Linked DNA regions of Tamandua tetradactyla. The protein of the gene in region 2 purifies or fractionates together with the protein of the main gene of each other region. This does not show direct contact. Links are inferred from orthologs where the notes say so. Each region holds a gene or a part of one and is shown on either strand. Other genes may lie near its edges.

Evidence for each region.
Region 1: the proteins of PPP1CC (region 2) and RPL27 purify together in Homo sapiens (affinity purification with mass spectrometry; 3 studies listed by BioGRID and IntAct, with this or other methods). This does not show direct contact. The link is inferred for Tamandua tetradactyla from reciprocal best matches to the Homo sapiens genes PPP1CC and RPL27.
Region 3: the proteins of PPP1CC (region 2) and PFDN6 purify together in Homo sapiens (affinity purification with mass spectrometry; 4 studies listed by BioGRID and IntAct, with this or other methods). This does not show direct contact. The link is inferred for Tamandua tetradactyla from reciprocal best matches to the Homo sapiens genes PPP1CC and PFDN6.
Region 4: the proteins of PPP1CC (region 2) and PDRG1 purify together in Homo sapiens (affinity purification with mass spectrometry; 6 studies listed by BioGRID and IntAct, counting the BioPlex papers as one, with this or other methods). This does not show direct contact. The link is inferred for Tamandua tetradactyla from reciprocal best matches to the Homo sapiens genes PPP1CC and PDRG1.

Annotation. Positions count from the first base shown.
Region 1 is NC_135332.1:24,233,464-24,241,448, forward strand, and holds the start of RPL27 (large ribosomal subunit protein eL27), read right to left. Parts: upstream 3,004-7,985; 5' UTR 2,881-3,003; intron 2,640-2,880; 5' UTR 2,638-2,639; coding exon 2,557-2,637; intron 1,658-2,556; coding exon 1,488-1,657; intron 293-1,487; coding exon 182-292; intron 74-181; coding exon 25-73; 3' UTR 1-24. Other genes in the region: RUNDC1 (RUN domain-containing protein 1), read right to left, coding at 7,852-7,985.
Region 2 is NC_135331.1:11,472,296-11,480,236, forward strand, and holds the start of PPP1CC (serine/threonine-protein phosphatase PP1-gamma catalytic subunit), read right to left. Parts: upstream 3,007-7,941; 5' UTR 2,792-3,006; coding exon 2,737-2,791; intron 1,218-2,736; exon of another isoform or gene 1,203-1,217; coding exon of another isoform or gene 1,184-1,202; intron 1-1,183. UniProt on the Homo sapiens protein: Protein phosphatase that associates with over 200 regulatory proteins to form highly specific holoenzymes which dephosphorylate hundreds of biological targets.
Region 3 is NC_135331.1:89,218,721-89,225,995, reverse strand, and holds PFDN6 (prefoldin subunit 6), read right to left. Parts: upstream 2,267-7,275; 5' UTR 1,950-2,266; intron 1,729-1,949; 5' UTR 1,714-1,728; coding exon 1,650-1,713; intron 1,393-1,649; coding exon 1,322-1,392; intron 1,244-1,321; coding exon 1,119-1,243; intron 887-1,118; coding exon 757-886; 3' UTR 504-756; downstream 1-503. Other genes in the region: WDR46 (WD repeat-containing protein 46), read left to right, coding at 2,410-2,478, 2,596-2,793, 2,903-2,983, 3,121-3,233, 3,356-3,443, 3,598-3,659, 3,928-4,032, 4,769-4,919 and 2 more. UniProt on the Homo sapiens protein: Binds specifically to cytosolic chaperonin (c-CPN) and transfers target proteins to it. Binds to nascent polypeptide chain and promotes folding in an environment in which there are many competing pathways for nonnative proteins.
Region 4 is NC_135327.1:21,175,906-21,183,901, reverse strand, and holds the start of PDRG1 (p53 and DNA damage-regulated protein 1), read right to left. Parts: upstream 3,009-7,996; 5' UTR 2,882-3,008; coding exon 2,783-2,881; intron 1,447-2,782; coding exon 1,371-1,446; intron 322-1,370; coding exon 247-321; intron 1-246. UniProt on the Homo sapiens protein: May play a role in chaperone-mediated protein folding.

The DNA.
Region 1 (7,985 bases), on a different chromosome or scaffold from region 2:
TTTAATGATTGAAACAAAAAATATCTAAAACCGCAGCTTCTGGAAGAACCACTTATTTTTGCCCGTCTTGTATCTAGAAGGAAAAAAAGGACAACAATGAGGAAAGGAACAGGGAGATGGAATTCCCTTCATAGGGAACAGTGAAACCATACCTCAACATTCATCACCAAAGCCTACTTACCTCTCCTCGAACTTGACCTTGGCCTCGCGCCGGGCCTTGCGTTTAAGAGCAGGATCTCTGAAGACGTCCTTGTTGACGACGGTTTTGTCCAAGGGGATATCCACAGAGTACCTGAATGGATGGCCAAAAGATAAATGGCAGGGAGGTAGGATCAGTCCACATGCTGCCAGGACCTTCAGACTGCTTCTAAGTCCTCCTCGTATATTGGAGTTTCAGGGTTGCACTCCACAGGAACAATCACCAAAAGCTGTGCCAAAATCCTGACGACATTCTTTGGAAACTCAAAATTTAATGGACTCTTTTACATGGATTCAAGCCACAGAAAATCTTTGCTTTCCCTCTCAATTTTCTAAGCTAAGAACCCTCACTTTATTAGACCTCTTTGCTTTCACCATAGCAATTATTTCTATTTGGGGCCATTTTCCTTAGTGTTGTTCAAATTCTACGTGTGCAAAGCCACCCAGAATTTCACTGTGAAAATGCAAAAGCCAGGCGGCTAGCACCTGCTAAAATGCATTATCATTTTAGATCAGCAAGTCAAGTGCAGAATTAACATGCAGCCGATAGCAAACTTTAAGGCATGTGCTGCTAGGTTTTGACCCTTACCGACCAGGACTCTCCCAAGATCTTATACTTCTTTATAATCTTTATACCAAGATAGTCTAAGTGCTGCACACTATAATACTGTGAAGGGTCAGCAATTAAAAAGCCCACAATTGAGTGAAACTAATCCAAGAGGCTTTCTTTCACTCATTCACCAACCAGTTTTGAAAACTTATGAGGGTGGAACAGGGAAGAAGGCAGACCAGACCCTATGCCTGTGTTTAGTTACTGCAGATGTAAATAAATGAAGCAATTTTTAACTAACATCAAAAGCATTTACAGGTGAGTGGGGGAGTAAGAAAGAGATACGAAAGAGCAAGCTTGAGATTTTTTCAATCCTTCCAGGCCAAGTCAGGAGTCTTCATAGACTAACTAGGGATTCATGGGAAATACAGTTACAAGGTGCCATGAAAGAGGTAAGACTGGAGTCATGAAAGAGTCTCGGTGATGGTGGTGACAATAGCATAACATTGTGAACATAATCAACACCACTAACATGTACACTTAAAAAGTGGTTAAAAAGGAAATTTTGTTATATAGCACAATTAAAAAAAAAAAAAAGACTGAGAACTATGGCTATTTTATAAGGTAAAGAGTGACAAGTCTTTCCCCCCACCAAGAGTGCAAGGGTGTCTCCAGATTTAGCAGGGCAGAAAGGAAGAAAAGAAATCAGTCATTTTTATTCCCATTCTGAAATGCTCACCTTGTAGGCATGAGGTGATTGTAGTTATAAACTTTCACAAAAGACTTGATCTTTGACCTCTTGGCGATTTTCTTCTTGCCCATAGCAGCTGTCACTTTGCGGGGGTAACGGTCAATTCCAGCCACTAGAGCATGGCTGTAGGGGCGGTCCGAGGTGCCATCATCAATGTTCTAAATGAGGAAGAATTACATTTGGTATTAATTGAGGGCCTATGTAAAAAGAACACCTCTATCCCTGGGTCTCCACTATGTAAGGGGAGAAAATTATACAAAGCAGACCATATTGAGTGCTATGCTAAATTGAATGAAGTGAGGGGAGAGGTATTCATTCCTATCAGTAAGAGACATGGAAAGGCTTTTGGGATGTAAGAGATTTATAGAGTACTTGTAACATGCCAAGCAAAATCCATTAACCTTCTTCATGGACATACTGCTTTAAAGGGTACCGTCAGGACTGGCACTACTATCCTACCCTGTACCTCTTTATCCCCAGGAAGATCAGTCTCAGGAAGATGGAGTAGGGGCAACAGGGCTGCCTAGGTGTCCCAACAATAACAAATAGCTGTGGCCAGAGTCTAGGGATATGTGGCAAAAGCCTACAAAATGTGGGTAAAGGCAAACGATGAAGCTAAATGATCATTTTGACTAAAAGCAAACTCTACTTTTTTTTACAGAATCCCAACTGCAGCACTAAGGATCGGTTTGACCTAAGCAAAATACCCAATATCTCTAAATCTCAGCAGCAATAGAAAGAAGCCCTTATTGTTGCTGTAAGGACTGAGTAAGACAGCACCTGTAACGCAGTGTTAGGCACCTTGCAAGAGTTCAGTAAAAGATGGTCACTATTATTTATTCAAAGTCTCGTTGGTGGAGGTTGCATTATGTTAGGAGTACAACTCCCACATTTGTTTTCATTTGCATCTTCCTCCCACAAAACTTCCCCTGCACTCAATCCCCTCATCGTAATGTTCCTAGCCCCAGAACTAGGGCTTAAGTCCCAAGCCTGCTCGCTCTCGGAATCCTGACCGGTTCCCGAGATGTGCGGGCGTAGAGGCCCGCAAGGCTGGTACCTTCACGATGACGGCTTTGCGTCCGGAGTAGCGTCCGGCCAGCACCAGCACCACCTTCCCGGGCTTCATAAACTTGCCCATTTCTGCGGAGAATAAGGGGAAGGGATGGTTATGAAACGCAGTGGGCCAAATCCGTCTGAGACGACTACTGTGCTCAAGCTCAGGCTGCTCCTGCGGCCGCCCGCGGGCCCTCCTCGCTGTATTGGATTCACTACAAAGCCGCCGGAGGCCGCGGAACAGAACACAGACGGCGTCGCCCGGCAATCCAACCCCCAAGTCGTGGATGGCGGCAGATTGGAAGCCCCTACCCAGTACTCCACTCACCAACAGCAACCACTACGGCCTATGGCAGAAAGAAAAGAACCCTATTTCCGCCGACCTTTCACCCGGAGGCCGTGTGACCTCACATCCGGTACCGCCCCTTAGGTCTCTCGGCGGTACTTGTACAGCGTTCAGACTCCGCCTTGCGGACGGAAGTTCAAGAGGAGGTAGCAAGGCCTGAATCAAACTTTATTAGCTGCTCCGGCAATAGACAACGACGTAAGTTTTGTATGGCTGGCGTACTGATAGAAGAGCAAGCAAGGCGTGTGCGCGCGCGATATTGTAACTCAGCAGCTCGGTTGCCCTCTGTTGTAGTTCCCTTCTCTCGCGCTAGGAGGGAGACACGTCTCCACTCGACTGTTTTGCCTTAGAAGATGCAGAGAACAAAATGGGACGTTTATCGATGCCTACTGTGTGGACTCTTAGGCATAAGGAGGGAGAGACAAAGATCAATTGAATGATTTTACGTCTAGTGATGTCATAACATTAATTAGCTAAGAGAATTAGTGAGGGAGGTGAAGACCTGCTGACTCCATGCTAGGTAGGCAGAGTTATTCTATTCACCTACATTATCTCGTCTGAGCCTCATAACAACACTAGGAGATAGGTTATTATTTCCATTCTACATTGAAGAAATTGAGGTTTCGGGAAATTAAGTAACCATAGCTAGTAAGCAGTAGATCTGGGACTCAGTTAAAGCATTCCATTTCCTGAGTCCATGCTTTTTATCATGTCACCATATTGGGTACTTATTCTGCCAGGCAGCGGGCTAGGCGTTTTATTTAAGTTGACAGCCCATTTAATCCTCACAGCTCTGCATCTCGGGTATTTTCCTCCCATTTGAAGATAAGGAAACTGAGATTCCGAAAGGATAAATTACTTCTCTGGGATTGAACCTGATGAGTGGTGTAGATGGGATTCACATCTAGGTCTAGAAACCAGGTTTAGTTGGCTCTCAAACTATTATTTCCCATCACTCAATGGAAGAGCATTTTTAGATGGTACCGTTCACTGGCTGGAATTCAAGACAAGGAGAACCCTTCCTAAGGTTTTACTCTTCTGAACATTGAGGAACCTACCGAATTGGTTTTGGGGCAAGATGTCGAAACAGTCAGGATAAAGGGTTTCATCACTTCTGTTCTTGAGGCTCTCCAGGGACCAAAATTGCCAGCAGCCCTCAGGATCCCATTCCAATGGTTTATAACTCTAATTATGTAGTTGTATTTTTATATCCAATTAAAATATTTTCTGCTTTAATTTGGAATATGAAATTTTGAAGTTGGAAGGGACCTCGGAGATCATGAAAGATGAGGACAACTCTAGAAAAACAAAGTCAGTTTGTGTCACAGAGCAAGGTCTCCCCACTCTTGTGCTGGTGCTCTTCCCACTACACCACAGTACCCTGTCCATTTCCATGTTTTTGGTCTTCTCTTAGCCTCCTTATCTGCTTTTGCCCCTTTTGTACTTTGTTTTTTTTTCTCCTCTCTTTTTGCTTTTTCCCTTCGGAAATAGGAACCAAACCCTGATACCTTGTAATCACTTTGGACCCTTTCCACAAACCACCTTCCAAGTCAAATTCTGTGAATTTTGCCCTGTGACTTTTAAATCTACCCTTCTCTATCCCTTCCCACCTTCTCCCTAACTAACCTCCTGGCCTCATTGTTTCTCTTCTCCAATACCTTCCTACATTTTAGTGTGGATCAAAATTGCCTGGAATGTTTGTTGAAGGTGCATCTCCATGACAAGAGATTCTGACTTCAGGTCTGGAAGTGGAGCTATATGATGATCTTTTGAGAAACTGCTTTAAACACATCTTTAAGTCCACCACTTATCTGTTAAAATCCTTTAATGGCTTTCTTGCTTCCAAAGTTTGAATTCTCACTCCCACCTATCTATCCTTCAGTATAAGTTCCTATGACTCCTCTTAAACCCTTAAGACAACCCCTGGGCTCCAACCAGCTAAATCTCTTTTGAGCCCTGGGGTCTTTATTCAGCCTGGTCCATGTGACTTTGTAATCCTGTCCAAATTCTACCCATCCTTCAAAGCCATTCCTGAACTCTCCAAGGCAGAATTAATCTCTCTCCTCAGTGCTTTCTCTGCAGTCTACACTTACCTTTATTATAGAACATATATTCATTTTGTTTTGATCAGTGGTTCTCAAAGTATGGTTCCTAGACAAACAGCATCAGCATCACCTGGAAACTTGTAAGAAATGCAAATTCTCAGGCCCTATCCAAGACCGCTCAATCAGAAACTCTGGGAATGGAATCCAGCCATCTGAGTTTTAAAAAGCCACCCAAACTTCCAACTTTTTTTGGTGTCTCCTTTCCAAAATTTCTTGTTCCTTGAGGGCAAGAAGTATGTTTGAATTATCTCCATCCTCAGTACCTAGTCTGGCCCAAGCTGTTGAGAGGACACTCAGTAAGTGTAGACTGAATGAATGCAGTCTGGCTTTGCAGATCAAATTTGTTCTACAACGAATACATTTGCTTTGTTTTCCCAAAGACCCAGCACTTTCACTGAATACATATGCTGGGTCTTTTTCATTCCGTTCCTGCTTAGCCTTACAGATCTGGGCTGACTGTCCTTCCTCTCCTCCCTTGTCCCATCTGCCTCACTCCAAGCCAAGGATAGAGCCCCGTCCTCAGCCCTGACACTGATGATATCAGTGACCAGCAGATATCTGTGACTGTGATGTCAGCTGGATTGCCTGAGTCTACACATAGGTTTCATGGAGAACTAGACAAGGCAATGACTGTCTATCTATCTCCCTGCAACCTAGTCCTCTGGCATCTGAAATTTCCAGCAAGTATGTGGAGAACACCTTCTCCTCCAAAAACTAATGGTGGAGTGAGGGAACGGGAGAGGGATAAAAGGGAACAAGAGATCTAGAAGCAACACAATACAATGAGACCATGTGATAGGCTTTGGAGCCAGACAACTTAGGTTCCAGCTTTTCTACCATGTAAACCAGGATAAAATATTTAACCTCTCTGTGCTTCACTTTCTTCAGCTGTAAAATAAGGATAATGCCTTACAAGTAGTGAAGATTAAATTAAGAAACACACACACAAATGCATCTTGTGAGGCCAGCAGATTTTTATTATACAAGTTAATACAAGTTACTTTTTTTGTGAGGATTAAAAAAGACAACACTGAGATGGTCCTAAGCTATGTCATATGTCTTTATCAGTTATCATCCACTCTAAATTATTTACAGACAAACAGAGAAGGGCCAGTTCCCAAAATATTAATTGTGGTGAGATGTGGTGTGGGGATGGGACTGTAGGCCTGGGTGAGAGGGGGTGATAATGCCAAGGGCAGTTTTTAGTGAGAAAATATTAAAGAAAAATGGAAAACCAAAGCTGAGCTGATTCAGGGTAGAGGGCAGAAGAGCAGAAAGGCCAGGAGCCAGACAGCTCTCAAGGAATCAGGTGGAATGATAGCAAAGTAGCCTTAACCAAAGCAGAGGGTCTCTAGGGTCTTTGCAGAGAAGTTACAGAAAATACTGATTTTATTAGTAACCACGGATACACTTTCTTTCACATTTTACATTTCCTTTGTTTTGCACAGAAGGTGAACTCATTCTAACCAAATATCAATAATGCCTCTTAAATAAGTAACATGTTGCTGAAAAAAAAAATTAAGTTAAAATGCACTACACAATAGTGCAGACAGAAAGTGGAGCTGGCAATTTAATACATGAAAACAATGCTGAATCAGTAGTGTTTGGAGCCTATTTGGTTTCTAGAAATTAACACATTATTTTCCCGTTTTTTGACAGTTCTGGAGTAGTACCTATCACAAACATGTGGACAAGTAGGAACTACAAAGGCTAAAATACTGAAGAACAAATAGGACTACCTTAGAGTCAGTTTACTGTGGAATTATCAGCCCTGCCTGTAAACAACAATCTGCTTAGTACCTATTCCCACTGTGGGAATGGACTGGAAGCCAGCCCAACTTGACTTGTGAATAAACCCTGTGCCATTATCTGAGGGAGAGAAGCAATCCATCATCTAGCTTCCAGGACAAGTGGCCTGTGTGAGTCACAACCCAGAGAGGAATTGCTGCTGGTTATTAATATCGATTCCTGTATACATTCAACTGGGTGGCAAGGATTCTCTCAAGAAGGAGATCTCAAATACTTTACTTCTGAAAAGACTGTGTCAGTCTTGCTGGAAGATACATAGAGAAAAGCTTACTTGCCAGAGGACATATTAGCAGACATTGGTTCTCATTCCTCTTAAAACAACTCAGCTTCAACACAACAAAAAGACCACAGTCTGTGCTGTGAGAAGAGGACTACTTTGTCATAAACAGATTTTTTATCACTACCAGAAAAAGGGTACATATTAAAACTAACTTATGCTTAACTCCCTCAGAAATATTCTCATCCCTAGTTTTAGAGGCAGCAATGGAAAAGACATAGCCTACCCCCATACTGGGATCAGTAAGGAAGGGCCAATATTTATTAAATGAATTTAAACTCTGGCCCTAGTACTCTCAAACCTGCTTTGGGTGAAGGAAAAATGGTTCCCAACTTGACGAACAGGAGCCTCAAGCTGAATGTTTTCCAGGACCAACAACTCACTCATGTTGTCACTCACTGGCATTAACAGAATGGTTAGAGCAATGTGAGTTTTCCAAAAACTACACAGGGCATGACAGATTGGTGGATTAGCTGGGTGCTATGACTGATTTCTTTTACATAGGCTCAAACATATGCACCCACTTGTATACTGTGGTCATATACCAGGGCAGAATCTTTTAACAAGTGAGCCTCTAGCACATCTTTGTGAGATGCTAAATTGGTGGGAAAAACAGACTTTGCAGTCATTTGTTTGGCCACCTAAAGCAGGATCTAGGAAACATTTCTTTAACCCCTCCTCCCATTCTTTGCTCCCATCCTAGAAGACTAACATATCTACTCCTGCTGAGTGAGGCACTGGTCTTGGGCCAGGACATTTTCATCAAAAGGCATCTTTGATGTTCTTGAGCTGGCGCACTGCCAGGTCTACAGGGAGGCTGAACTTGAGGCTGCTGAGACGACTGAGCAGATTGAGGGCACTTTCAAAGCCAGTGTGTGCCATGTAGCTCCAGGGCT
Region 2 (7,941 bases):
TTGCAAACTACAATGTGAAGTAAGTTACAACCACTTGCTGTGCAAGAAAAGCGCTAGCCATCACTGACCCTTGAATGGGGTCGCTTACAAAATAAGTCTGCCCTCAAAACTGACCTTTCTCCAATGTACAATATCCGAATACTGATTTCTTTTCTCTCTAAATCCCCCAAGTTTTATTGTGTAGTATTTATATAAGTGAACCTCAGTCATACTAGGAAATAACTTGAATAATTTATCTATCAACAGGAAGGCAGAGCTTCCTTGGATAAAATTTCTGAGGTGGGACACAGAAGTGATACTTCAGCTTAAGGAAAAACTAAACATTTATAGTAGAAAAAGAACTGCGAAGCTAGTGAGTAAGGTCTAAACCAGCATTCTGTTTTTCTTAAACTGGACTTAAGTTTGAGTTGTCTTTTCAGTGCTAACCAAGGACTTACACTGATAGCTTGTACAGTCCTTGACCATAAAGATCAGACACTCTGAACACATAAAAAATGTCTAACAATGTCACAAAACTCCTTTTCTCTCCATTTTCAGATTTATTTAATCTAATTAAATTTTTTAGGCTTGAAAAAGGCTTTTGGGGCATTACAAAATTCAATAACTTTATTGAATCTCTCAACTTTGATGGATACTTATCCTCAAGGAATCCTCTTCAACTGTTTCCCTGCCAATCTAACATCCATGAGACAAGAATTTAACTATGTTGTGCAGCTACAGTATTCCCAAGGAATTAAAATGCACTGCTTTATTCTATTATTTGTAGTGAAAAATGAAAATTTCAAAATCTGGTTTTCAAGTACAGCATAACGCATTAAGAGGGATTATTAAGAAACAGTGATTGATCTCATTTTACATGAGCCAAGCTCATCAAGGCAACAAGATTAAATTAACAAAGCCTGTTATGTGACTACAGAGACAATTATGGGCAAAACCAGAACTTCAGTTGAGACCTAAATACATATATATATTCCTGTACAGAAGTATAGTTAATTTAAGATTTTAAATGAAAATATTTAATAAAAGTTTCTTTCCCACTGCAAAAGTTTTAATCAGTTTCTAACAGAGTACTGCTACACAGAAATCAAAGAACTGTACTGACTAGTACGGAAAGCATTTGAATATTTTTTATAGCCTGTGTTTCTTATAATAAATCCCAGGAACTGAATGACAAGGATTTCACCTGCAAATGGCAGTGTCATTAACAGCACTTCAGGGTTTCTTATACATATTCTGTGGGTTGTTCTTTTAAGAAAGCTAGAAAGTACTGCAAAAGAAAAAAAAAGGCACTGATTTAAGAAAAGGAAGAGTTTTTTAGGAGTTTCATTTTAATGATTTACTTCAAAAGTTCTGCAAATTCTAACACCAGAGGTGCCCAACTGTTCATACTCTCCTCTATCACACATTTAAATTCCAACAATATTTTAGGACAGCATAAAGGCAAAAAGCAGTTAAAACTCAGACAAATCTACACGATTTAGTGCCTAAATCAAGAATGAGAATTACTTGAACTCTTCCAAAGTCTGGGAAAGATGTTTGTATTAGGAGATATGCTCTGGAATACCCACGTAGTTCTATGTGGCCTCCCTCTTTAAAATCTGAAGCTCACCGCTTTCCATATCAATAAGAATCAATTGCCAGGCACCTCACAAGTCTTAGGTCCGCCAACACGAAAGCTTTAACTTAACCTTTTCTTAACCATGGGACACTTCCATTTTCCTTTACACATTGGGTCATCTATAGGATGAGAGTTGAAATGTAGAGAGTTCTGGCTCCTGGCTTTGAAACCTGTCACTACCTGTGTGACCTTGGACAAATGACTTCACCTCTCTGTGTCTTAAGTTTCGTATGTACAACGGGAAAAATAATAGCACCTACCCCATAAGGTTATGAGAATGAAATTAAATCTGTAAAGGGATGCCAGACACATAGTGAAGTCCTTAGAAGTGTTGGCTATTATTATTGTTAGAATCTGAAGAACGCAAAGCGCTGGACCCAGACCCTGGTACACTGGAAAGATAATGACACAGTCATCGCTGATTTCAAGTTCACAAGCACGCTCATGAAAAAGGGCGCGGAGCCCTATCGAAGATAAGGAAGGATAACTTAAAAGGTTATCTGGGGGTTAGGGAGAGATGAATTCTTACGTCCCCTTCAGATAATGAGCGTTCACTACCAAGTATGAAGAAATGGAACCCCGACCCCAGTCCACACACACAAAAAAGAAAGCAAGATATGAATAAAGCCCCCAAACCCGATGAAACCAACTCCCCTAATAAATTGCTTTTTGAGAAAAAGTACCAGAAACTCGATCCTGGCCAGAATAAAGCACGGTACACGCCGTCCTGCAGGTTGAACCGAGCCCCCCCAATCTCCTCTCCCAAGACCCGTCGTCCAGTTTGCCGGGGGGAGAGGGGGGGATGGGGGAGGAGAGAGTATGGGTGGGAAACGTGGGGGTAGGCGGCGGAATTTTCAAATTTTACAGGCAGGAGGAAGGCTGCAGCCTCGTGTAACGAATGAGCCGGGCCGGGAGAGGCCGCGGGCTGGGTCAGGTTCGGGACCCGGCCCGGCCTCCCTCCGGCCGGCGGCAGCCCCTGGCCCCGCGGGCCAACTTGCGGGCTCGCTCCCCTCACCGCCGCAAGCCCAACCGGCTTCCCAACTCCCCTCCCGCGAGCCCCGGGGCCGCCTGCCGCCCCTGGGCCCAGCTCCCCTCAGCCCGCCCGCCGCCCCCCTCACCTTCCAGCAGCCGTTGGATGATGCTGTCGATGTTGAGTTTATCTATATCCGCCATCGCCTTCCCGCCGCCGACCCTCCCGCAGCGGCGCCACCGCCGGCTCGCGCTCGGGACCCACACCTCCTTTCCCACGCCACGAGCACACAGACGGTGGTGGCGGCGGTGGCAGCAGCCGCGGCGGGTCCCCCCCCAGCCGCCCCGCTCCCTGCTTCCTCCTTCTCTCCCCGCTGGAACCACGAGAAGAACAAAATGGCCGATGACTGCTTAGCCAGCCTCGGGCGGCGCACGGATGCGAGCGGGGGAGTGCAGCGGCCCGGCCGGGACTTCTTTACGGGCCATAGGGCGCGCCGAAGGGGGCGGAGTCCGGACGCTGGAAAGGGGGCGGAGCCAGAGCGCGGGTAGGGGCAGGAGACGGTTGAGCGTAACTTGCGAGCGCACGGGATCCTTCCGCCAAGCGGGCCGAGCAAATAGGCCCTTCTGGCCGGAGCGGGAGTTGTAAAGTTGCACGCGGGAATTGGGGCTGGAGGGGACGGTCCAGATATGCGCCCTAGCGACTTCGGCCTTCGTCGGATCAAGTTCTTTGAGGCCAGATGTTTTCAGACCTGGCATGTGGAAGACCGACTAGGCATTTCAAGGGCTCCTGGAATTTGCCCTTTAAAATAAATCTGGTTTGGGAGTGGAAAGGGAGATTATTAAAGAGAAGTAGGTAGACTTCTTTTGCATTCAAATTTTCTGGGATTGAGAGGAGAAAGGAGAGGTTTGTCTGGTTGCTTTAAAAACCCTTTCCCAGATAAGTCAAAATATTGTTGTTTATTCTAAGGTATGGAAATGTGCGTATCTGTATATTTTGTGTGTCACTTCTGTGAGTTTTTACATTAAAAAAGAAAAAAGCTTAAAAAGTCATCCTGGGACGGTGGCTCACAGGGTGGTGGCTCAGTGGCAGAGTTCTCGCCTGCCATGCTGGAGACCAGGGTTCGATTCCCGGTACCTGGCCGTGCAATTCAGAAAAAAAAAAAGTCATCCTCCAAAGAAAATATCCATCCTCTCTATCTTTAGATAATCTTTTTGAAACTCGGGAAGTTATAGTATCATCGGAACGGTAACCCTCAATCTAATCAGAGCCAAGTTTGCAGAAGATAAAGGGAGAATGTGTAGATTTCTGAGTTTTTGGCCGGAAGAACGAGTTGGCAGAGGCTGGTAGTGCGGGGGGAGGTCTCGAATTCTGCGGACACCCCGGGAAACTTTGGTCCATTTCCTCGGGCTTCCCAGCCTCCCCAGCGGGCATCCCTCTTCAGGGCGGGGCAGAAAGTGTGCGGCTTCCGAGGGTTGCGCATCGCCTTTAGCTGGGTTTGGAGGTGCTCTCTTTTCTGATCTTTCCCAGTAATCCGTTCTTCTCCTGCTGCGCCCTACAGTAAGTTTGCAAGGCCCTTTGCTCCCACAGAGAAATTCAGTTTGTTTCTCGAGGCATGCAGGGTGCCCGAATCCCCATCCCTAAATACTAGCAAGGTGATTACGCTGCGGGCATTCATCTTCGGAAGCAGCGCCCTCCAAGGGGCCCAGGCAGGCCCCCTGCGTCCTGGCTTGCGCCCCTGTCGCCGCTGGAGTGGAGGAGCTGGTGTCCAGCCGGCTCTGCACAACCGCTAACTCCACTCTCCCGAGTCGCCAGCTCACTCCCCCGTGCTGAGGCTCTGGCCACCAAAAGCCACACAAGTGTCATTTGTAAGCCCAGGGCACCGAGCCCAGTCGGTGACATTCTGACGGGTGCCCAGCACTGCTGTGATGGCTCACACAGGAGTCCACGAGACCTTGAGCTCCGCGGTGGGCAGGGCATGTCATTGCCAAGGCAATTACAGCAGGAATATGAAAGACTGCGATTCATTCAGCAAACAGATATTTACAGAACATGTACTCTGGCCAAGCATAGTTCTAGGCCGGGAAGCAAAACAGACAAGCTCCTTCTCTCGTGGACAGTCAGCTAGTAAGCCAGCCAGACAGTAAATCAACAAAGACTCAAATAAAAATATCAGCTTCTGATAAGTGCGGCAGAAAAAAAACAAACACTGCACTCACTTTCTTCATTTGTGCCAAAACATTATCTCATTGAATCCCCAAGACAATCCTACGTGTTGTGTACTATCCCTACCCATCCCCATTTTACAGCTGAACTGAGGCACAGAGAGACTAGGTCACTTGCTGAAGGTCACACAGCTAGTAAGTCAGAGGCTGGAACCTCAGGAGAGCCTGAGAGCAAAAGCGTTCATATTCAATAAATCCCCATTGTGAATTCCCAGCCCCTGACACAATCCTGGCGCACACCAAACACTTCATAAACGCAGAACCCAATGGAGCAACCCACGCATGTATCTTCCCACAGTAAGAGTGCCGTAATTTTCCAGCTGCAAAATGGAAGGTGTGTTAACCTCCACTGACATCATCAGTTCTGGAGGAGGACTTGGGTCTGGGCTGGGACATAGGCTGTGCCTCTGTCCACATGCCACTGTAAGTTTGGGCAACTCCCCTCCAGAGTCCAGTTTCGCTGGCACATGCCTAAAGGAATTAGCCGACTCAGAGCCTGAGAGCGAGCTCACACGGCTAAGTGTGAACAGATCCTGGGAATCGGCAAACCGCTCACAGAGGAAAGAACCGATTCCTTATTGGCCTGTTTCTGCAATAATCAATGCTGGTGGTCTCCCTAAGGACGAGGCAGACACATTCATTTCACCTGAAAGGGTGTTGCCATTTACTGAAGGGTGCCTTCCTCCTCTAGGCCTCAGTTTGCCAATCTGTAAAATGAGGAGAGTGGGTTAAATGTTACTTCTTTTTGTACTGCCTTCCTTGGATCTACAGAACTTTCTTAGAGAGCTACTGAGGAGGGTGGGAGCTAACGGGTTCTGTTTCCAACCCCTTGAGTCCAGCAAAGTAGAGGCATAACCCACAGTAAGTATGCAATCAATATTAATTATCCTTACTTTTATCTAATACATTGAGCTTCCATTGAGATTTGGAAAGAGGGGCTATGTCTAAAATATTTGAAAACCAGTAGTATCTCTCAGGACCCTTTAGAGTTTGAGGGGGATCCGAAGCCTACGGGGACCAGGCCGACAGCGCGAAAGAATTACGTTGGCTGAGTAGTGACTTTTATGAATTGCAGAGCCCACTCCCCAGCTAGGGGGTGTCCATTTCCCAGCTCCAGTCCATGGGGAACATAATGAGCCCAGTATGGCCAGATTCTCTGATTTTTTTTTTTCCAAAGGATCTTGGATATATGGATTTTTATGTGAAATGTTTCAATTTGTAAAAGATGGTTGTGAATTCAAATCCTTCCAAAATATGGCACAAGGCAGACAAGCATGTGTGGGGGCTGCAGTGAATGGAAGCTTTCTGGTAAAGCCTGCAGCTTTATTTCAATGTCCTGTGAAATTACCAGAAGTCACTTATTCTTTTGGAAAATGTTTATTGAGGCTTTACAAGGCTCCAGGCCTTCTGCGAGAAGCTGGGGACACAGTAGTAAGCAAACCAGACAGTCCTTGCCTCGTTGAACTTCCAATCTGGTGGAAAAGATGGAAAGGAACAGATAACTCAATCAAAGAAGATAATTTCTGAGAGTGGTAAATTGCTATGAGGAAATTAGAAGGGCTCATGTGACCACATAGGGAGAGGGACTCTGAGGGGGTGACATTTGAATAAGACCTGAAGGATGAGAAGGAGGAAGTCATGGGGAGACCTGCAACGGGGAAGAGCATCCCCAGCAGAGGGAACCGCGAATGCAAAGGTCCTGGGGCAGGAATAAGTTTCCCGTGTTGGAGGAATGGAAAGAAGACCAGAGCAGCTGGAGTGTAGAGTGAGGAAGAGAGTATTAGGAGGTGAGGTCGGAGAGGTGGCCAGCTGGTTCATGGCTTTATAGGCCACGGAAAGTCATTCAAATTTTATTCTAAGCCTAATGGGAAGTCACTGCAGGATTTTGGGTCAAGGAGTAACATGATCTGATTTTATATTTTTAAAGACGCTTTATATTTTGGAATAATTTTTTATTTACAGAAACATCACAAAGATGATACAGAGAGGTCCCTAATACCCTTGACTCAGTTTCTCCTAGTGTTTCATCTTATATAACCATAACATTACTCTTTTTTTCCATGATACCGAAATCATAAAGAAAGGTTAGATCATGACATATCAGGTAGCATCAGAACTCTGAAAGCATCTTCACCTAAATAAGATCTGATTTCATTTTCTAAAGATCTCTTCAGTTGCTGAGGGGAGAATGGACTGTAGGTGGGCAGGAGTGGGAGCCCTGAGACCAGGGAGAAGGCCGCTGACAGGTGCGGCTTTATCACTCTGAGCCTCAGTTTCCTCATCTGCAAAGTGAGAATGACATCACCCATCTCAGAAGGTCATTGTGAGAATTTACCTTCCCACGTGCTTGGGGACTTGGTAAAAATAATGGTGACAATGCTGACGGCGATAGTTGACATTTACTGAGTGCTTGCTATGTGACAGTTTCTGTGCTCACGGCTTTTCCTGCAGAATCTTGACGCTCATCCTCACCCCATTTTAGGAGTTAGGCTGGGAAAGAGGAGATTATTTGTAACCCCAGCTAGGGAAGGACAGGGCTCGGATTTATCTGACTTCACACCTCCTTTCATCAAACTGAGGAGTCGCGTTTTTAGGGATGAGGGAAATTGAATTCTTTGGGCCAGGAGTTCAGATGTTCCCAGAATCCTTCTCGGAGGAGGGACATTTAGATGGGTTCTTTCGAAATCTCTTGAACCATCTTCGGTCCTCATGAGTCTTCGTTGGCGTTGGGCGAGTCTCTCTTTGTGAAGGCCCCAAACACCCTTCCAGCTCTACTTACCCAACGGACAAATTAGGATGATTTGCTAATTTGACCAATACCGCCTTGCTAAATGTTCCTGAGCTTCACAAAATGACTCACTCCGCAGTCAGGAAAGCAGCAAGCTGTCCCCGGATCTGGAGTGTGCATTGCATGGCCATTGGCAACTTCCTCTGGCAAAGGGGAGCTCACTTTGGACCAGGGTTTCTTAGCCTCGGCTTTCTGGGCCAGATAATTCTTTGCTGTAGAGGCAAGGGGTGGGGGTGGTGGGCATTGTAGATGTTTGGTAGAATCCCTGGCCTCCACCCACTAGATGCAGGTAGGACAAACCGCCCCCCAACCCACCCAGGTGTGACAATCAAAACTGTCTCCA
Region 3 (7,275 bases), about 78 Mb from region 2:
GATTCCTCAGAATGGTTTATTCCTCTCCAGCAACATCTCCATTCCCATTCCCTTTATTGCTTTTAAAGTTTTCTTCCTCAGGTATCAGACCCAGGTCAAGTAGTAGTCATCAAATTAAAGCACTCAGTATCAGGAACTCCCTTAGCTATAATTTGTAAAAAAAAAAAAAAAATTGTGGACATTGCACAGCTTAGAGGAATTATAATACTGTAAGGCATTTTGTGCTGGAATTTTAAATTAGCTCAAACTACATTCCAGTAAATTCTGGGAACACAGAGGTTGAAAAGATCTAAAAGAGATGCCAGGGCAATTTAGAGGATGACAAGGGTTCACTAGAAGGAGGGTAACTGCAGTTCACCTTGGGGTCTCAGATTAAGATAACCACGACTTCTTCAACTAAATTGGTATTCCCAACAATAGCTGCATTACAAATGCCATTCCTATGTTTTCAAAACAGTTGTGTCAACCAAGATAAGGGAGAGTTCAGGGTTGTATATACAGACAAAATGCACGTTTGCTTAAGACATTCCTGACTTTAATGACAAAAGGATACCCTGCCACACAGACTCTAGAATCTGGACCTACAGGAGTACTGCAGGTGTTGTACAAGGTGGAAGGGGTGGAAAAACGGATGGAGAGAATCATGACAGAAGTAGATTGTCAGAAAACAGAGCCAGTATTTTCACATTTTATTAGTTACAGTATAGATCCTAGAGCTGCCTCACTCCCTCCCCTCCCCTCCCCCCCACCAAGAGGTCAGGCCTTCTCAGGAGCCCCTGCCTTTGCTGCCTGGGCCCGCTGGAACTCCTGCTGCAGCTGAGCAAGCGTCTCCCTCTGTTGCTCTGACTGCCGCTCAAGGTCTCGGAGTTGGGATTCATATCGTTTACTGAGGGAGACAAAGGAAACTAAGATCAGAAAATGAGAAATTAGTGGGACTTAGTAGCGATGGTGCTGAAGGCAAGAAAGAGATTGGTGGAAAAGCTGAGAACTAGGGGAGGAGCGGGATGAGAAAATTGGACAACTGGGCACCTCTATGGAAAGCTGCTCTACAGTGTTTCCAAAACAACTCTACTCTAATGGTACTGGTTACATTACAGGGAAGTGAAGCAAAGACTCACATTTCAGCGGTAATATAGTCCAGCCTCTTCCCTACTGTGGCTTGGGCCTCCCCGAGCTCTTGTTTGACCAACACAGGACCAAGAAGTTTAAAGACCACGTTGGATCCATCCAGCAGGGCCAGTTCCTGAAGGAGTGGACATATACCATCAGAACCACCGTCAGAACAGGTCCCTCCTCACCCCACAAAATCCCAAGCCCTCACCTCCTTCACGATATTATTTTCTGTCAGCTGTGCCTCAAGTTTCTGTCGCCCTGACATGGACTTACTCAAGTCTGAGGGGTGGGGTGGGAGGAAAGATGTGATTAGAGACATCAAATGTGTTACCCGCCCCCCACAACCAAAATCAGAAGAGAACAGACGAAGTAGACAAGGATGGGAGCCGTGGGTCAGCGGGTGGAGGATAGTAATGAGGTAGGGAAGAGGCTGCACGCGGGGCCCGGTGGGACAGAAGACTTTACCTTCATTATGGCTTTGGGTTGTGGGTGAGTGAAGGGATTGGGGCGGGGCCACACCAACCCTGCTCCCTTACCCTTCTGTAGCTGTTGATATTTCTCCACTTCTCCCTGTAGTTTCTTTTGGATCAGCTCAGCCATAGCTGGGTCGAAGACCTGAGGGGAGCAGGAGAGGGGCACTAGGTTTCACACGCCGAAAGGCACCCGAGCTCCCCTTGCTGGCCTGGTCGGAGGAAACTACAGCACTTTTGAGAGACAGCCCGCCGGGAAACCGCAGTTTCTCCCGGTTGGGATATCGGTTCTACCCAGGCCCCGGGGCAGGGGCTATGGAGAGATGAGAGCCCCAAACCCCTCAGCCCAAGCCCTGCCCTACTCACGTTCTCCCTTCAGTATTACTAAACCCGGAAGTAATTGTGGCAACCCGCGTCAAGAGCGTGCCGGAAGTGGCCTTCTGATTCAAGCCGGGAAATGTAGTCCTGACACGTTTAACGCTAGCGCACTCCTAAAAAGTCCGCACTCGGAAGGATTTGGAAAAGATGGGAAAACAAAGCCTGGAAACCAAACTACACCGTTACTTCGGCTCTGGCCCTGGATTTGGCTCTTTTTCTTTCGCAAGGGCATCATTACTCTGGCAAAAGCCGCTGTTCTGGAAGGCGGTGCCAAGGCCTGCCCCGCCCATCAGGAGAAAGGGCGCCCTCTTTCAACATGGCGCCGAGAGGGCCTCAGACCTGACGCGGCCCTGATTGGGTGAAGGCCAGAGGACTTCCGGGAGTTTCTAAGCCTACAGTGGGACGGCTGAACCGAGTTTGCACGTGGGTCATCAACATTGTGGTCTTGATGGAGACGGCCCCCAAGCCGGGTGGGGATGTTCCGCCCAACAAGAACAAAATTCAGGTCCAGAAGAAGGTAGAGACCCCCTTGGGGCGGGAAGGAAAGTGTTTAATTGCGGGGTGATGGAGGGGATGGAGGGGGCGGGTCGGGGAAGCGGGCAGCGGAGCCTTAGGGCCTCTGATCTGCCGGCAGAAACCTCGGCGATACTGGGAGGGAGAAGACGTGGCTTCGACTACTGCCGGAGTTTCTCCAGGGCCCCCTCGTCGCAAGAAGAGAAAGAGGGATCTCCGCCCCCAGAAGCCAAAGAAGACTCATATTCTAAAGAAGTCTCGGGTCACCAAGAAGCCTCGGGTTCGGAGGAATCCGGAGCCTGAACGGAGCTTGTCTGGGGTGAGACTGAGGCCTGATAGGGTGGCAGGGCAAGGCATCTTGTGCCTTGAGAGTGCGAAGGTTGAGGTCAACTCGAGCTTGTTAGCTAGTCTCCTCCTTTTTACTCCAGGCCCAGGACCCATTCCCAGGCCCTTCTCCCGTCCCTGTGGAAGCGACCCAGAAGTTCCGTCGTATTGACAGATCCAAAAAGGTGAGACTTAGCCGGGGAGTGGGGAGGGGTTGGAGACAGGGAGGTTGGATGGAGGTGGGGCCAGGTGATTCTCCTGTGACCCCCTCCACATGTCCACTATTTTTTTGCCCCCAACCCTTGCTCTCCCAATGATATAGTTACTACATGCTAAATCCAAAACCCGAAACAGACTTGAGGTCGCTGAAGCTGAAGAAGAGGAAGCAAGTGTCAGAGCTGCTCGTTCTGAGCTGCTGCTTGCTGAGGAGCCTGGGTGAGTAGACCCTGATCTGGGCATTCCCAGCCCTTGCTTTATGGGGCTCCTCTTTCTCATTTCTATGTGGGTATGTCCGCTTCATCTTAAGAAGATTTTTTTTGCAATAACCCTTTTTGCAGGTTTCTGGAAGGGGAAGATGGAGAAGACACGGCCAAGATACGTCAGGCTGACATTGTGGAGGCTGTGGACATTGCCAGTGCAGCCAAGGTTAGCCTGAGCCTGGGGCAGGGGCCACAAAACTGATTGGTTGTTCAGAGCAAGAGGGATATGAGAAATAGAAGAGGGAGTTGATGAAATGAGCTAGTTCTCTGTTGACTTTTTATTTTATTTTATTTTATTTTTTAACTCTTCCTCTTTGCAGCACTTTGACTTGAATCTGCGGCAGTTTGGACCCTATAGGCTGAACTACTCTCGAACTGGGAGGTAATGTTGAATTCCAGGGACTCTTGAACTGAGATGTGGTAGTGTCTGCTAAACTGCAGTTGTGCCCACCTCAGCAAACAATCCAGTGTATGTTGGGGTTGTTGATGAAGGGAGGATCCTGTGATTTGCCTAGATATGAGTGGACCCTCTTGAACAACATCTGTCCTCTCACTTGGAGAGGAAGAGCTGGCCTGGGGGCAGACCTCGAATTGTCTGAGTCACAGTGTTTTCCTACACTGACACCCTGCCTGTTCCCCATTTCTAATAGACACTTGGCTTTCGGAGGTCGTCGGGGTCATGTGGCTGCCCTTGACTGGGTGACAAAGAAGCTCATGTGTGAGATCAATGTCATGGAGGCTGTGCGGGACATCCGGTTAGTGACCTCCTATAAGTGCTTATGGGGACTGAGACACCCCATCCCTCTAAAAAGTTTTTTAAAACATTTTTTACTGTAAAATATACAATAATTATAAAAAAAGCCATAATTTTCAAAGCACGTTTTAACTTTGAAGAACAGATTTCAAAGTTTGGTATAGGTTGCAATTCCCCATTTTCAGGTTTTTCCTTCTAGCTGCTTTAAAACACTGGAAGCTAAAATAAATATCATTATAGTGACTCAGCAATCGTACTCATTGTTAAAGCCTATCTTTTCTGTTATAACTCTTTCTCTCCCTTGATCTTTCTCCCAATGTTTAGGGGTATTTGGGCTATGCCCATTCTAACTTTTTCATGTGGGAAGGGGCTGTTGATAATATGGGAGGGGGATGGAACTAGTTGACATTCTGGAAGGCTGACCCCTCTGGGTTTCAGGACTTATCTGGCCTACGAACCCTCTAGTCCTAAGTGTTCTTTAGGGTTAATAGGAATGATGTTTGTTGGGGTATGGCAGACCATGACAATGAGCACTATCTCACTGAGGCTTACATAAGCGTAGCCTCCAGAATAGCCTCTTGACTCCATTTGAACTCTCTTAGCCATTGATGCCTTATTTTGTTAAATTTCTTTTTCCTCTTTTAGTCCAGAAGGCATTGTCAATCCCTCAGTGCCAGAGCCCCATTCCTTTTTTAATGACAGTCTGTGATCTGTTTTCCCACTGAATCACCTATCAGATTTTTGCACTCGGAGGCACTGCTTGCTGTTGCTCAGAACCGCTGGCTTCACATCTATGATAACCAGGGCATCGAGCTCCACTGCATCCGCCGCTGTGACCGCGTCACACGGCTTGAGTTCCTGCCCTTCCACTTCCTACTGGCCACAGCTGTGAGTGGCTGGAGCATAAGAACCGGGTTGGCAGCCCTTGACAGGATCCTGCCCCATTTGGGACTGGGGTTGGGGGAAGACAGAGCGCAATCAGGACCAGTTATTCTTTCTCTCTTTTACAGTCAGAAACAGGGTTTCTGACCTACCTGGATGTGTCAGTGGGGAAGATAGTGGCAGCTTTAAATGCTCGGGCTGGACGGCTTGACATCATGACTCAGAACCCTTACAATGCCATCATTCATCTTGGACACAGCAATGGTCAGTCCGTGGCTTAGCTTTGACTCTGGCTATTCTCACTTGTTTTTCTTCTGTATTTATACTTGACAAGTCCCTTAACTTGTACTTTTACCTTTTTGTCTTGTACTTCTTGGTTTGAGTATCCACTTTTCCTAGATTTAATAACCTCAGCGCCTCACCTGTAACTTTAGCTGTGCTCCTGTGACTTTCAGGTACTGTGTCCTTATGGAGTCCAGCCATGAAGGAACCACTGGCTAAGATTCTTTGTCACCGTGGTGGGGTCCGGGCTGTGACAGTAGATTCTACAGGCACGTAAGTCACTTGTTTGGGGATGAAATACTGGGGTCACAGATGGGGTCATGGGTAAGGAAGTGAATGTGCCTTTTTAGCACAGACCCTGCAGACAGATTGCTTGGGTTTAATTCCTGGTGTTACCACTTGCAGCATGTTACTGCGGGTACAGAAAAGCGAACTTCAGAAAGGGCCAGATGGTAAATATTTTTTTAAAATTTTTTTTATTTTTAATTTAATTTTTTTTTACATGGGCAGGCACCGGGAATTGAACCGGGTCCTCTGGCATGGCAGGCAAGCATTCTTGCCTGCTGAGCCACCGTGACCCACCCCAGATGGTAAATATTTTATGTTTTGTAGGTTAGTAGGCAAAATTGAGAGTAATATGCAGAAATTTAAATAATAAGAAAGAAAAGAAATTGTGACAAATTTTCAAGCAATGGAATACAAGATATGATAATCACTTAACCTTTGTAATACAGGTTGTTTAGTTTGCTAGGTGCTGAAATGCAATTACCAGAAACAGAATGGCTTTTAAAAGGGGGAGTTTAATAAGTTGTTAGTTTACAATTCTAAGGCTGTGGAAATGTCCAAATTAAAGCAAATCTATAAGAATGTCCAAATTAAGGTGCCAAAAAGAGGTTGCCTTCACTCAAGAAAGGCCAATGAAGTTCAGGGTTTCCCTTTCAACTGGAAAGTCACATGGCAAAAATGGTGATGTCTGCTAGCTTTCTCTCCAGGCTTCTTGTTTCATGAAGCTCCCCTAGGGGTGTTTTCCTATATCTCCAGAGGTCTCTGGCTACCTGGGCTCTTGACCTTGTGGCTCTCTCAAGACTCTGTCTCTCTTTCCAAAAGGCTTCCTCTTTTTCCCCCTCATTTTTTTTTTTAATTTGATTATTTGTTTTTTTATTGTTGAGTTGTAAGAATTCTTTATAAATTCTGTATACAAGTCTCTTACCAGATTTACAAATATTTTCTCCCATTCCATGGGTCGTCTTTTTACTTTCTTTTTTTTTAAATTTTTTAAACTTGTTTTTTATTTATGATACATAACCACATACAGACACAAACATTCTTATATGATCATTCAGTTCTTGTTATATAATCAGTAACTCACACTGTCATCACATAGTTGTATAATCATCATCATGATCATTTCTTAGAACATCTGTATCAATTCAGAAAAAGAAATAAAAATAAAACAAAAAAATTAATGCATACCCTACCCCTTATCTCTCCCCTTCACTGATCACCAGCATTTCAATCTGCTAAATTTATTTTAACATTTGTTCCCCCTATTATTTATTTATTTTTAATCCATATGTTTTAATTGTCCATCAATAAGGTAGACAAAAGGAGCATCAGACGCAAGGCTCTCATAACCACACAATCACACTGCGACAGCCATATCATCATGCAATTATCTTCAAGAAACGTGGCCACTAGAGCATAGCTCCACATTTTCAGGCAGTTCCCTCCAGCCTCTCCATTACATCTTGACTAACAAGGTGATATCTATTTAATGCATAAGAATAACCTCCAGGATAACCTCTCGACTCATTTGGAATCTCTCAGCCACTGATACTTTATTTTGTCTCATTTAGCTCTTCTTCCTTTTGGTTGAGAAGATTTTCTCAATCCCTTGATGCTGAGTTCCAACTCATTCTAGGATTTCTGTCCCATGTTGCCAGGAAGGTCCACACCCCTGGTTGTCATGTCCCACGTAGAGATGGGGAGGGCAGTGAGTTTGCTTGTTGTGTCGACCGAGAGAGGCCACATCTGAGCAATGGAAGAGGTTCTCTTGGGGGTGATTCTTAGGCCTAATTTT
Region 4 (7,996 bases), on a different chromosome or scaffold from region 2:
AGAGGGTGGTGGTATGATGTACTCTGTATGGGGTTTATGTTAATTTTGTAATTTTCCTGTAAGTTTGAAAGTTTTTCAAAATGAAAAGTTTAAAAAGTTTTTTAAAAAGGCAACCTATATCAGGCTGAACCTGTAACACAGCTGCCTCCCATTAAGCTGCCCAGAGCCTGACTCTTCAATTCTGGGCTACAACCAAGACTGACAGGAGGGCAGCTATGTTCCTGACCCATCCCCAGGACATCTTACCTTTCTCAATCATTTCTTTCGTCTGAGGGTGAGACATCTTGATAAACATACTCCCGAAGCAAACCATCACATCTTCTGAAATGGCAAATGGTCATTTCTTCAACAAGTATTTTTTGAGCACCTACTACCTGCCATGTTTTTTACATGCTAAAAACAGGAGAACCTGACAACATTCTTGTCCTCAAATAGCTTATGTCATAGTGAAGGAAAAAGAAAAGGCTCTTATAAGTGCTGTAGAAAAAAATGAAGCGGGGTAAGAGGTATAGGAAATGCCAGAGTAGAGAAGGGACTTGATACTTATACTGTGTGGTCTGAGAAGGCCTCACTGATTATGTGATATCTGGCCAGAGACCCAAAGGAAGTGAGGGTGTGAGCCCTGCACACATACGGGGGAAGAGTGAACCTGCAAAGGGAACAGGAACAGCAGGGAGTCTAGTATGGTTGGAGTCAATGAGTGAGGGGGAGTGTAGAGATGATGTTAGATCTTGGGGGCTGGACTATGTGAGGCCTTGCAGGACTCTAGACTTTACTTTTATGAGGCACAACTAGAAGGTTTTATACTTTCTGCTGCACTTTAAACAAAACTCAAACTTCTTCCCTTGGCCCCAACACCCTTCGTTACAGCTGGCCTCCGCCCATCTGTCTAGTCTCTCATCTCATGTCCCTTTCCCCTTGCTTATTCTACCACAGCCACTCTAACCCAATCTCTTTAACCCTCAATCCCTTGCGGATTTTCTCAACATCTAACCCATGTCCAATTCCTTTCTTTACTTTCTCACAATTGTCTATTGTGTATTTTATGTGGTTTTACTCACGTGTTAGTGCACAAAGGCAGGAACCACATCATTTTAATACGTTCCCAGCACTTCTGGGAGTGTCTGCCATCACTGAGTCAGGAGCCAACAGCTTGTCACTAAGAAAAGCAGCTGAAATCCCGAGCTCCAGTCTGTGTCAGACCCTGTAACATTTTCTCCCCTATCCTCACGGCCTGTATTAATTCCCCATAAAGCTGAAGAATCATATGTCTGTGGCCTCCTGCCTGGTCTCTATCATGGATAAGGCAAGGACCTTACAAGGAAAACCGAACTGACCTCCAGGACCACAATGAGGAAACTGCAACTTACCAGAGACGCTAAGATCCTTCTGCAGGGCCCTCAGGGCTTCGCGGTTCTGATTCCTTTTAGTATCCAGGTCCACAATCTAAAAAGCAGGGGCAAGGGGCTACTTAGCCACCTCTTGTTCCAACCCTGTCACGTCCCAACAGACCAGGGGCTAGAGAGATGGTAAGACGTCATTCCTTGGTTTCTTTCAACAACCTGTGTGATACTGATGTGTGAACATGTTTCTTCTCCCACTCAGCTTCCCGGTTCTTAAAGACAATACTGTAAGCACATATCTTCCCCTGAGAAGTTGCTGGGAAATGTCTGCTGACTAAATGGATAATTTGTACCATCCACTGGAACATCAGCTCTCAAACTGTATGTCAGAATCACTAGGGGAACATGTTTAAAATGCTCATGCACAAACCTGTCTCCTAGACACTAGGATGAAGCAGGTCCAAGAATCTACTTTTGAACAAGCTCTAATAGCTGACTCTGACCTAACATGCAAAAATCCAACAATGCCAGACTTGGACAACAGGGGTGGAGGCACTGAGACGGTAACAGCATAAGAGCTGCTACAGAAGCGAGGAGGCAGTACAGAAGGCTGCTTGTGACCACTGGCTCTGGAGCCAGAATACCTGGATTTGAATCCTGCTGTTCCCTACCAGTGCTGTTTCCTTCTCTGAAAAACGGAGATGTGAAAGTACCAACCTCACAGGTTACTGAACCAGGAACTAAATGAGTTAGTTAGTACAGTGCCTGATATATAGTAGGCCCTTAATAAACTTTAACTTCTGCTATTATCATCCACATGGTGATACAGTATTTAATTTATCAGGCTCTTCCCCAAGTCTTCCTCTTCTCAGTAAATAATGGCCAACCATCCAATCATTCTAAAGGGAGATGAGAGAGACTCATGTCATTTTGGCCCTGCCTCCCATTCACTCACCTCTATATGTAAACACCATCCTGTCCTACTGAGTCCATCTCCAATTTATATTTCCCACCCTTTCACTTCTCTCCATCACCAGCACTCTGGTCCAAACCCACCTCTGCCTGGACCATAGCAATGGTCCCTCGCTTCTTCCTGCCTCCACCTTTGCCCCTCTATATTCCATATATTCTATATTCACTGCAGCCAGAGGGCTCCTTTTAAAACCTAAATCCAGTTGCGACCTACCCCCACCGCTTACGAACTCCCTAAGCAGGTCCACAGGGCCCTTTGTCAGAAGGCCACTCAAGCCTCTCTTCTGTTCCTCGTCTCTCCTTAAGGCCTTGACTGGTGTGGGGCACCCTAGATCACCAGTCCAGGTCAACTCACAGCGAACCCGTGGTAGAGCTAGATGCCGGCCCCACACGGCTCTGTATACGGCGCTCGCCGCCAGGCCCCAATTATCTCCCCCAGGTCCCAACGCCACGGACGGGCCTCCCACCTGCCGCTTGTCCGCCATCACTTCCTCGGCGAGCTCCTCCACCTCGACCAGGTACTGCAACACCCGCTCCGCCTCCGGTGACAGCACGGCGCCCGCCATCTCCAGGTCCGCAGCAACGCAGCTGTGAACTCCTTCTGGCTCCGTTCGGAATGTGCGGCCTAAGGATCCCTCAGACAGGCCTTCCAGCGCGCAGGCGCAATGAAAGGAGGGTCGCCGGTGCGCAGGCTCCTGCGCAGGCTCGCTTCTGCGCACGCGCGTCAGCGCGTAGGCCCGCTTGCTAGTGCGGGGCGGGGCATCACGTGGGGGCGGGGCTGGAGCTCGCCTCGTAGGCTCCTTGAGTGCCTTTCGCAGCTGGGTGTTGACCCCGTTTCTCTCTTTTCAGATATTTCTTAAGTGCGTCCTTTAGTGGCAGATACTGGTATTCTGGGTGAGCAGTGAACAAAACGAAGCCCTTTCCCTCATGGAACTTCATCCTCCTTGGAAACGCCGCCGACAAAAATTATATGCTACGGCAGGCAATGATAAGGGCTTCAGAGAAACGTGAATCATTCTTCTCCTGTTTGAGCAACACCAAGGAACCCCGAGTGGCATTGTGGCTTTTTTGTGTGTGTGATCATTCCATTCTACATATATAATCAGTAATTAACAATATCATCACATAGTTGCATATTCATCATCATGATCATTTCTTAGAACATTTGCATCAATTCAGAAAAAGAAATAAAAAGACAACAGAAAAATAAAAACAAAAAAAATTATACATACCATACCCCTTACCCCTCCCTTTCATTGATCACTAGCATTTCAAACCAAATTTATTTTAACATTTGTTCCCCTTATTATTTATTTTTATTCCATATGTTCTACTCATCTGTCGACAAGGTAGATATCAGACACAAGGTTTTCACAATCACACAGTCACATTGGGAAAGCTATATCATTATACAATCATCATCAAGAAACATGGCTACTGGAACACAGCTCTACATTTTCAGGTGGTTCCCGCCAGCCTCTCCATTTCCTCTTGGATAACAAGGTGATATCTACTTAATGCAGAAGAACAACCTCCAGGATAACTTCTCTGTTCTGTTTGGAATCTCTCAGCCATTGACACTTTGTCTCATTTCATTCTTCCCCCTTTTGGTGGAGAGGGTTTTACCAATCCCTCGATGCTGGGTCTCAGCTCATTCTAGGGTTTTTCTCAATCCCTTGATGCTGAGTCTCAGCTCATTCCAGGATTTCTGTCTCACGTTGCCAGGAAGGTCCACACCCCTGGGAGTCATGTCCCATGTAGACAGGGGGAGGGTGGTGAGTTTGCTTGTTGTGTTGGCTGGAGAGAGAGGCCACATCTGAGCAACAAAAGAGGTTCTCTTGGGGGTGACTCTTAAGCCTAATTTTAAGTAGGCTTGACCTATCCTTTGTGGGGTTAAGTTTCATATGAACAAACCCCAAGACTGGGGGCTCAGCTGATAGCTTTGGTTGTCCACACTGCTTGTGAGAATATCAAGAATTCAACTTGAGGAGATTGAATTTTCCCCTGTTCTCACCATTCCCCAAAGGGGACTTTGCAAATACTTTCCCGCTCACTGATCAAATCACTCTGGGATTCATCAGGGCATCACTATAGACAAACCAACAAAATCTCATGTCCTACCCAAGGTTCCATGTACTTATGTTGTTCAACCAAGCTATCTACATAAGTTATATTAGGAAATGCACTAGTCAAAATATAAATTTTGTACCAAATAAACATTTTTTGCTTTAGTCTCACACATAAGTTGAAATTTTAAAATATTAATTACCATCTATTTTCAGCACACTGCAGTAATGACATTCCTTTGTTCTTCCTCATGCAAAAACATTTTTTAGTATTTGTACATTTAGTCACTATCATTATACACTCTAGGCATTCCTAGATTATACCATCTCAATCTTTATCATCTATCTTTCTTTGTGATTTCATTTATGCTCCCAGCCCTCCTCTCTCTATCATTCTCACATACAGCTTCATTCAGTGTTTTAACATAATTGTATTACAGTTAGGTAGTATTGTGCTGTCCATTTCTGAGTTTTTACATTCAGTCCTGTTGCACAATCTGTATCCCTTCAGCTCCAATTACCCAATATCTTACCCTATTTCTATCTCCTGATGGTCTCTGTTACCAATTAAATTCTCCAAGTTTATTCATCATGTCAGATCATATCAGTGAGACCATACAGTATTTGTCCTTTTGTTTCTGGCTAATCACACTCAGCATTATGTCCTTAAGGTGCATCCATGTTGTTACATACTTCATAACTTTATTCTGTCTTACAGCTGCATAATATTCCATCGTATGTATATACCACAGTTTGTTTAGCCACCTGTCTGTTGATGGACATTTTGGCTGTTTCCATCTCTTGGTAATTGTTAATAATGCTGCTATAAACATTGGTGTGTAAATGTCTGTTTGTGTCCTTGGCCTCGTGTCCTTTGAGTAGAGACAGCATATAGATGGGTCCTGTTTTTTAATCCGTTCTGCCAGTCTATGTCTTTTGATTGGGGAGTTTAATCCATTAACATTTAGTGTTATTACTGCACAGGTAGTACTTTCTTCTACTATTTTGCCTTCTGGATTTATATGTCCTATCTAATCTTCCTTCTTTTTACCTTTACTCATAGTCTTTCTTACCACACTCTTCTCCACACCTCTCTCTTCTGTCTTCGTATCTGTCTCTAGTGCTCCCTTTAGTATTTCTTGCAGAGCTGGTCTCTTGGTCACAAATTCTCTCAGTGACTTTTTGTCTGAGAATGTTTTAATTTCTCCCTCATTTTTGAAGGACAATTTTTCTGAATATAGAATTCTTGGTTGGCAGTTTTTCTCTTTTAATAATTAAAATATATCATCCCACTGTCTTCTCACCTCCATGGTTTCTGTTGAGAGATCTGTGCATAGTCTTATTGGGCTTCCCTTGTATGTGATGGATTGCTTTTCTCTTGCTGCTTTCAAGATTCTCTCTTTCTCTTTGACCTCTGACATTCTGATTTGTAAGTGTCTTGGAGTACATCTATTTGGATCTATTCTCTTTGGGGTACGCTGCACTTCTTGGATCTGTAATTTTAAGTCTTTCATAAGAGTTGGGAAATTTTCAGTGATAATTTCCTCCATTAGTTTTTCTCCTCCTTTTCCCTTCTTTTCTCCTTCTGGGATACCCACAACACGTATATTTGTGTGCTTCATATTGCCCTTCAATTCCCTGAGTCCCTGCTCATATTTTTCCATTTTTTACCTATATTTACTTTTTCTTGTCGGATTTCAGATGTTCCATCCTCCAGTTCACTAATCCTATGTTCTGCCTCTTGAAATCTACCATTGTAGGTTTCCATTGTTTTTTTTCCATCTCTTCTACTGTGCCTTTCATTCCCATAAGCTCTGTGATTTGTTTTTTCAGACTTTTGATTTCTTCTTTTTGTTCATTCCTTGCCTTCTTTATATCCTCCCTCAATTCATTGATTTGGTTTTTGATGAGGTTTTCCATGTCTGTTCGTATATTCTGAATTAATTGTGTCAGCTCCTGTATGTCCTTTGAATTGTTGGTTTGTTCCTTTGACTGGGCCATATCTTCAATTTTCCTAGTGTGATTTGTTATTTTTTGCTGGCATCTAAGCATTTAATTACCTTAATTAGTTTATTCTGGAGATTGCTTTCACTTCTTTTACCTAGGGTTTTCTTGCTGGATGAATTTGTTGTCTCTCTGTTCTTTGACATTCAATTCAGCTTTTTCTGGACCTCTAGCTTAGGTTTTGTTTAAAAGAGGAGAATTTTTCAGTTCTTGTTTTCTTGTTTCTTGCCCTGCTTGTATGGTGCCTCCCCCCCTACCCCAGGAGGGTTTTTGTAGGTATTATAGACCCCAAGTGGATTTTCCCAGACCAAACTGGCCTCCTATCAGGAGGAAAGAGTCACCTGCATCGGTTTTCCCTGAGGATGAGACCCAGCAGGTTGAAAGACTTTTCTGTGAAGTCTCTGGGCTCTGTTTTTCTTATCCTGCCCAGTATGTGATGCTTGTCTGCCTGCAGGTCCCACCACCATTAGATGATGCAGTACCTTTAACTTTGGCTGGGGACGTGGTGGAGACAGAGGAGAGGTTGGAGTCTGGTTTTAATGGCTTCAAATTACCAAGCCCTGGTGTCTGAATTCCTTGAGGGAGGGATTCCACCTGAGTTGGGCTTCACCCCTCCCCTGGGGAAGGCACAGGCTCCAGACAAGCCCCCAAAAGAGCTCACTTCTGCCTATGGCTGGGGCAGTTGCAGCCTGAGAAGTCCTGCTGCTATATCCAAAGGCAGTCAAGCTTTTGTAGATACACAGCCACAAAAACCTCTGTTTCCTTTTTTTTTTTTCTTTTTCGGTCAGCCCTGCCCCCTTGGCACCAGGGCAAAAATGAGCGACCTCTGCTTTGACCAGGTTCACCTGAGCTGTGGGCCTATTATTAGTAGTCAGAATTTATTAATTAATGCCACAATTCGTGTTTGGTTGGGCTCAGCCCCTGCTGCTGGTAAAGTCTCTTTCCTTTTCCCTCTGGGAAGCAGCCTGTGAGGGAGGGGTGCCGGCCACCACGGCTTGGGGAACTCACGGTTCTGGGGGGGCTCGCAGCCGGTCCAGCTGGTCCAGACTGGGGTATGCTGTGTGTCTGGTCACTGATGTGGCCCCAGGAGCTGTTCTGCACTGTTTCTAGTTATTTAGTAGTTGTTCTGGAGGACGAACTAAAACGCGCACATTGCTAAGCCGCCATCTTGGCCCGGAACTCCTGTGGCTTATTTTTTTAACCTCTGATATCTTCAGTTTCCAATTTACAAAATGGGGGTGAATAAAAAAATCCCCTGTCATCCATCCACAAGATGGGAAGAAGGCAGAAATCATTTTCTATTCGGTTTGGCCAGTGTTCCTTGAGCCCTTGAGTTGGGCCTAAAGCCCACGCAGCAGACCTGGACCCACGGGAGCTGGAAAACTATGTGCAGCCAGACACGAAGTACCAGCTCGGGAAAGAAGTGTTTTTGTGTGCCAGAAAGGAAATCAGTAAGGGCTGTGGGATCTGGGAGAACGTGCCAGAGGAGGCAGGCTGATGGAAAGTGCTGCCCATCAGAGCCAGAGGTTCCCTAGAGGTCTTCCTGTCCAACCCCCTCATTGCACAGCTGAAAACACTGAGGCAAAGACAGAGGTGAGGACATCGGAAAGT